2 linked regions of the Arabidopsis thaliana genome follow. The main gene of each other region encodes a partner of the protein of the gene in region 2 in a complex. Each region holds a gene or a part of one and is shown on either strand. Other genes may lie near its edges.

Region 1 (3,751 bases), on a different chromosome or scaffold from region 2:
CGTAACCGTCTTCACCTCCACTAGAGAAACTGAAATATACATTCCACAAACTCAGTGAGAGAGCCAAAACACACACTCAAAACCTCATCATGTGAGGATTGTGTCAATCAATCAAAATCCAAATGTTGTTAATTTACCTCTTCCCATCAGGATTGAATGCCAAAGCATTTATAGGTCCAAAATGACCTTTCACACCACCAATTTCCTCTTGCAGAATCTATATATTATACCAAACACAATGATACACGGTTATTTAAATATGTGTATTTTCCAGGTTACATGTTTCCAAGTAAAACACTCTTATTATAAACACTAACCTTGTCGTAAAACTTAGCTTCAAACTTTCCAGCACGATGATCAGTGGTAGTCACAGCTGATGCATCTTGACCACCTCCAAGTACAACCTAAAAGAGAGAGCAGAAACATTCACAAAGATAACATCATGCCTTGCTGATTCTGGGATTCGAAATTGAATTTCATGAAGCATTAGTGCATACATGGTTGAGAAGTGGAGACAGGGAGACAGCATTTACGGGCACCACAGTGGTGTAAGTCTTAAGAAGAGTCAGCGTTCTCATGTCCCAAAGCTGAAACAATCAACAAAAGAGAACACTCTATTAGATGATTTATATCTATATGTATAGTGCAAAAATTTGAAACAAGATATACTGTACAAGTAAAAGAAAGAAGCACATGCCTTTGCAGTTTTGTCAAGTGAACCTGTAAGGAAGTGAGAGTCATCAGCTGCTTTGCAGAGCGATGTAATGTCCTTCTTGTGACCCACTTCCTCATCTGATTGCTTGAGCAATTTTCCCGTCTAGTAACAATGGCAGTAGCACCACATAAGGTTTAGTTCATAACCTTAAAAGAGAGAAATTAATACACAAGTAAGGCCTTAAGAAAAATTGAAATACCTCGGCATCCCAGATTCTGATAACTTTATCTTCACCACCACTAACAATAGTTTGGTTCAGGGGACCCCAAACAGCTCTATTGATCCTCTTCTTTCCATCAGGACAATGAAGGACAAGCACAGACTCAGCATCCTCTACACAATTGCATCAAACAAACAATTTCCTTTTAACACATACAAGAAGTTGGCTAAAACGTAAGTAGTAATTCAGCTAGGAATGTACAACTTACGTTCCTCAGGATCTTCCGCAATACGCTTCACATGAATAGCAGCGGTACGGTCCACGAAGTGATCAGTGGTAATCACTGCAAGACGATCTCCAACAGCGAAATCCACAGACCTCGTAGGGGCATTAAACTTGAAAGTGAACAATTCTTTTCCAGATTTTACATCCCACAGCTTTGCAGTCTGATCAGCACTACCAGTGATCAATCTTGACGAGTCTCCTAAGAAATCACTAAACATTCAGCTTTGAAAGACTAAGACGACAGAATTCACTCGATACTATAAACCCTAAACAAGCTTGTAGCTAAGGGGAAACAATGAATCTAATCATCGACTCGATACTATTTGAAGAGAAATTGAGAAACTTACGGGAGACATCACAGCACCAAACAGCACCGTTGTGACCACGGTAAGTTCCAAGGCGCTCGCCGTTATCGGCAAACCAGAGGGTGGGTGTGTGGTCCTTGGCGCAGGAGAAAAGCAGATCTCCTTCTCTGTTGTACCTCAGAAACGTCAATGGACGTTCATGTCCCTTCATCAGGATCGGCCTCATCTTCAGTTTCTTAGGGTTTGATGCGAATCTTTGAAACAGATACGAAATCGAATCAATCAAAAGACAAGAAAAATAATTGAAGAAACGATTACGGAAAACGGCTTTCTTCTTCACCTGTTCACTTGAAGACGAGAGAGACGACGAGGAAGAAGTGCAAAAACCCTAGGAAATCAACTTTGTCCTCTCTTTTGACACTTTTACCCTTTTGTAATTTTTTAAATTACTCGAGATGCCACAGTTTAGCAAAGCTCAGTGGCTTCAGCGTTTTTAGCTTCTTCCCTATTTGATGAGTTCGAACCTCGCCCGTTGCGCCTATTTTGTTTTTTTCCTTTCTCAAAAGCAGTTTCATACGTTTTTTTTTTGTGGGTGCATATGTCTATTTGAAAAGACAAACAACAAGCTTTATCATCAAAGTAGTATATTGGTAATTTGGTAGTACATCAATTCTGAAAATGTTAAAAAGAGAGAAAATATTATGTGGAATGATGAAAAAATGGAAAGACATGTTCAAAGAATCTAAATCTTGATGTTGAAGTAATTGGAGTCAAAATGATGCAGTCTCACGTAGCCGTCTTCACCTCCACTAGAGAAACTGAAAATACATTCCAAAAAACACTCAGCAACAAAGCCTAAAAAACACTCTCATCAACTGAGGATTGTATCAATCAATCAAAATCAAATTTTGTTAGTTTACCTCTTCCCATCAGGACTGAATGCCAAAGCATTAATAGGTCCAAAATGACCTTTCACGCCACCAATTTCCTCTTGCAGAATCTATATATTATAAGACCAAATACACAGTTACATATCTCTTTCCAGGTTACAAGTTTTTAAATAAAACTGTTTTACTGCAACACTAACCGTGTCGTAAAACTTAGCTTCAAACTTCCCAGCACGATGATCAGTGGTAGTCACAGCTGATGCATCTTGACCACCTCCAAGCACAACCTAAAAGAGCGAGAGCAGAAACATTCACAAAGATAACATCAAGACTTGTTGCTTTTGGGAACCGAATTTGAATTTCAAGAAGCATTAGTGCATACATGGTTGAGAAGTGGAGACATGGCGACAGCATTTACAGGCACCACAGTGGTGTAAGTCTTAATAAGAGTCAGCGTTCTCATGTCCCAAAGCTGAAAGAATCAACAAAAAGAACACTCTATTAGATGATTTATCTCTATATGTAATATGTATAGAGCATATTTTTGAAACAAGTAAAAGAAAGAAGCACATGCCTTTGCAGTTTTGTCATGTGAACCTGTAAGGAAGTGAGAGTCATCAGCTGCTTTGCAGAGGGATGTAATGGCCTCCTTGTGACCCACTTCCTCATCTGATTGCTTAAGCAATTTTCCAGTCTAGTAACAATGGCAGTAGCACCACATAAGGTTTAAGCTAATAAAAAAAAAAAGAGAGATATTGATAGACAAAAGAAAGGCCTTAAGAAAGTTGAAATACCTCTGCATCCCAGATTCTGATAGCAGCATCTTCACCACCACTAACAATGGTTTGGTTCAGGGGACCCCAAACAGCTCTATTGATCTTCTTCTTTCCATCAGGACTTTGAAGGACAAGCACAGAATCACCAACCTCTACATCAATTACATTAAATCAATTCCTTTTACCCATACAAAAAAGACATAGGCTAAAAAACATAAGTAGATTTTAACTTAGAATTGACAACTTACGGTCTTCGGGATCTTCTGCAATGCGTTTGACATGAATAGCAGAGGAAGTTCCCACGAAGTGATCAGTGGTAATCACTGCAAGATGATCACCAACAGAGAAATCCACAGACCTTGCAGGGGCACCAAACTTGAAAGTGAACAATTCTTTGCCAGATTTCACATCCCACAGCTTTGCAGTCTGATCAGCACTACCAGTGATCAATCTAGACGAGTCTCCTAAGAAATCACAAACAAAACACTAATCGTTAAGCTATGAAAGACTAAAACAACAAAGACAACGACTTAAATCCTAAACTGAATCCATTCCATCCACTATATACTATTTGAATTTGAGAGGCTGAGACCACTTACTGGAGATATCACAGCACCAAACAG
Region 2 (3,751 bases):
TGAACCTGTTCATCTTCAGGCAACGGTTCCTCAACGTAATCATTCTCGAAAGCATCAGGTGGAACCTCATAAATCCTCACTTGAGGCTTCGATGGATCCTTCACAAGAACATACTTCCCTTCGCTTAGTTTCATACACAGATCAACTATGGATTTCACAATCCCCCACATGTTAGAAGTGTTGAGATTAATCTGTCCAGCGAAATCCTTCGGCTTATACCCCAAAACAGATAATATAACATGGTTGAAATGATCACGAGGATGAACCCTAGAGACAAAACCAATCTTCATCATATCAGCATTAGCCAATAAAGCTTGTGCAGTCCATTTAGCCAACTTATTTCCATTGTTCTTCAATTCTGTAGCTAAAACCGCACCTCTCTGAGTTTCAAGCTTCTGTCTCCAATCAACACCAGAGTACTTAGGATCAAACTCGTTAAGAGCATTCAAAGTAAGAAACGACCTTTGGTTGTTGAGATCAGCAACACTCTGTAACTCACACCTCGCAACAAGATGCATATTATCATCAAGCTTCCACCTTCTATACCTATAAGCAACAGAAGCAATCTCTTCACCTTCATTAGCAAATGGATTGGCTTCATCAAAAGTTTCCTTCTTTCCATCTCTAACCAAAACCTGCTGCGAAAAGTTCTGATTGATGTAAGCAGCTTCCACACCTAGAGAATGAGCAGAATTGATATCATCTTTAGACTCAGGCAATGGCTCTTGAGATGTCTCATGCACAGACAACAAATCAAGCTGTGATCCATCTCTCTTGTCAAAGAACAGTTTGTTACCAACACGTTGAATAACAATATCCCAAGAGTAAACAGATCTAGGAGCACACATAAGAGCAGCTAATATAGCATCAGTAGCGAAAACAGTAGCTTTGTCTTCCTTAGCTAAACGCCTAATCACAGGATCATCACTAGTAGTGACTTTGAAGAAGTTCCTGTTCTTGAAACGCTCGAGTCTGCGTTCGTTTTTCGGCGTTATGCGATCGAAAAGGCGGTTGTAGTACTCAAGGCCACCACAGAGAAGAAGATCTTCTGGTTCTTGAACTGTGTACGAGAGCTTCGAGAATGTTGAGAAAGGGATCTGCTCAAGCATGTTCCACTCCGGCTGAATATCAACGGATGATTTGAAAGCGGCAGCTTCACGGCGTTGGTGATGGATGTTGTTACGGTTGTTATTGTAGAGACGATCACGACGAGCTCGTTCCTTCTCAGCATCACGCTTCTTAGCTTCAACTTCTTCATCTCGCCGTTGAGGAAGCTGATTCCGATTGTGGTGAGGATTGAAACGCCATTTAGGTCCGAATTTAGGACGCGGCGGAGGTTTACCGTCGACGAGACGGAAAGCTGCGTCTTCGTCGGGATTACCACCGGAGGAAGCGAGACCGAAGCCTTCGTCGATTGCGAAAGCGGAGAAATCGAAAACTGCAGACGGATCTGATTTGGATCCGGTGTTAGGACGAGCGGATGGATTAGAGAGATTGCGAGTCCAATCAGCTACACGGCCGAGCTTATCGGAACGGGAGAAGGAAGCGAAAGGAACGTTCGGGAGAAGATTAGCGGCGGCGACGCTGGTGGGAGAGGCGGAGGAGGAAACGTCGGAAGCGTCTGGAGGTCCCCAGCCATCGGAATTGAAAGGAACGGCGACGAATTCGAAAGCTTCGGTTACCATTTCTGAGAAGATAGTGTTGCAGCTGTGTGTGTGGAAAGCGGAAACCCTAATTCTTTAGTCTACGTTGAAGAGAGAAGGTACAAGAAAAAAACATTTTTGTTAATGTTTGGGCTCATGGGCTTTAGTATTCTTCAAAACCCATATATAACACTTGAAGTCTTAAATCATGTTTTTCATTTCTGACTTTGAGAAAAAAATAAAATAAAATAAAAATTTAGAATTCAAATTCATCAATTTGAAATAGTATAACACATTTTTTTTTGATAAACTCTATTTGCTGATCTGGTCAGCTTCGATAGAAACGCACCAAAGTGCTCCGAAGTAAACTTTTCCCGAAGGACCACAACACTATCTGTCCCGAATTTAAATGTTTTCTAACTAATACCACGGGATATTCAAACTCGGATCTGAGAGTTTCACCTATCACCAAAGTTTCTCCTATCACTAGATTACAAATGCTTGGGCAAGTATAACACATTGAAAAAAGGTGAAGTTATTTCGCTCGTTCATGTATTAATTCTAAGAAACTTTTTTTTTTGGTTTCGTTCTTGAAAATCATCATCCTAAGTTTCATATATTTCACAGCTTTGTTGATACCAAAAAACAAAATATATTTCACAGCTTTAAGTAGAGAAAAGTATATATTATGCTTACAAATGAAACATCACTCTCACAGCACATGATACAATTCAAGAAAAGGAATCTAGCTAACACCAAAAATAATTCAAGAAAAGGAACAAAAACATAGAACTTTTTTTTTTAATAAAGGAACAAGGAATCAATATTAGTGAACACTGTTCACAATCTTCTCCAGTCTTTCAGGAATTTGACTCCTAGCTCCATAATCGTGTTCTTCCACCTATATAAAATATAAATTAAATTTAGTTTACTAACATATGGATATTAATAGGAATCAGCTAGTAGAAACTTAACAATCAGATGGGAACATGCAGCTTCTTAGCGTTTTTGAGTGCAAGTTTTATTAAATATAAAAACAACAAGTATAAATATCATTCCCTAACTTTGAACTCATTCCCAATGTGTATACAAGCTGGATTAGACCTAGTTTTAACATAGTAGTAGTAGCAAAGTTTGATTCTTAAATTCCATTGCAAAAAATGTTTTACTTTCCGAATTATACCTTGCAGTGAAGGGTGTGGAAGACAGCATCATCAACAATGGAGTATCCAGCATGAGTGATCTCAGCTCCTAATTCCTCGGTGAGAACACGAATGATCTCACAAAACATAAACTTGTGTTCCAAGCTTGTCACAAGAAAGATGTGAAAAATGGAACCAGTTTCTTGAATCTCGATTTTTGGCAGCTTTCTTGGCACGGAGACATCGACGCTCGACGAAACCGATGAAGATCCGACGGAATTCAGTTTCTCCAAAGTTGTAGTCGCAACGAGGTTCCTTTTCCTTTCTCTCTTTTTCTCCACGTTCACTTGTAGCTTCTTGATGTAGTTTGCAGCTTCATCTAGCTGATCAGGTAGTGTTAAAGGCTCCTAACATGAAATAATAAAAGAGTTTAGAATATTAAGATCATCACCCATACATGGAATCTTAGATTATATAAGCATATAAGAGGGCCAAGAGGAAGAAACCGTAGAAGAATGATGAGGAAGAAGAGAGATGAGTTCTGAGTAGAGAGACTTCATTTGCATCCTTCTATTTTTCTCAACCGTTTTGCGATCTACAGATCTTGATTGACCTGTGTTTGAATGGCTCGGCTCCATTTCTTTTTTTATTCCTGAATTGTTTCACATAGACCATGATAACAAACTCAATGTTAACCAAGCTTATATAAAGAAGGAGGTTGGTTTAAGTGACATCTGATAATTAGTTTGTGCTAACTATTTACTGGAAAAGGGTTTGTAATATATATGTACCAAAGACTAAAAAAAAAAAAAGCAAAACAAAGTGGAAAAAAGTAAGTTCTTTAAATATATATCTTGACTCGTCGTTATGGTCAATTATATATTTTATGTGTTCATATATAGTTTTTAATGGTTCTGTTAATAGTTTCAAATTGGATTGAGAATCAACGCTAGTTTATAAGGGCAT

Evidence for each region.
Region 1: AT4G20980 (region 2) and TRIP-1 share a complex: the UniProt entries of both Arabidopsis thaliana proteins name them as parts of the eukaryotic translation initiation factor 3 (eIF-3) complex.

The regions. Positions count from the first base shown.
Region 1 is NC_003071.7:19,003,703-19,007,453, forward strand, and holds the start of TRIP-1 (TGF-beta receptor interacting protein 1), read right to left. Parts: upstream 2,031-3,751; 5' UTR 1,806-2,030; exon of another isoform or gene 1,720-1,805; 5' UTR 1,692-1,719; coding exon 1,508-1,691; intron 1,360-1,507; coding exon 1,144-1,359; intron 1,049-1,143; coding exon 915-1,048; intron 818-914; coding exon 698-817; intron 588-697; coding exon 498-587; coding exon of another isoform or gene 477-497; exon of another isoform or gene 405-476; coding exon 318-404; intron 218-317; coding exon 138-217; intron 30-137; coding exon 1-29. Other genes in the region: AT2G46290 (Transducin/WD40 repeat-like superfamily protein), read right to left, coding at 2,208-2,283, 2,386-2,465, 2,553-2,639, 2,735-2,824, 2,927-3,046, 3,147-3,280, 3,377-3,592, 3,728-3,751. UniProt on the Arabidopsis thaliana protein: Component of the eukaryotic translation initiation factor 3 (eIF-3) complex, which is involved in protein synthesis of a specialized repertoire of mRNAs and, together with other initiation factors, stimulates binding of mRNA and methionyl-tRNAi to the 40S ribosome.
Region 2 is NC_003075.7:11,214,931-11,218,681, reverse strand, and holds the start of AT4G20980 (Eukaryotic translation initiation factor 3 subunit 7 (eIF-3)), read right to left. Parts: upstream 1,802-3,751; 5' UTR 1,686-1,801; coding exon 1-1,685. Other genes in the region: AT4G20970 (basic helix-loop-helix (bHLH) DNA-binding superfamily protein), read right to left, coding at 2,470-2,544, 2,827-3,192, 3,292-3,423. UniProt on the Arabidopsis thaliana protein: mRNA cap-binding component of the eukaryotic translation initiation factor 3 (eIF-3) complex, which is involved in protein synthesis of a specialized repertoire of mRNAs and, together with other initiation factors, stimulates binding of mRNA and methionyl-tRNAi to the 40S ribosome.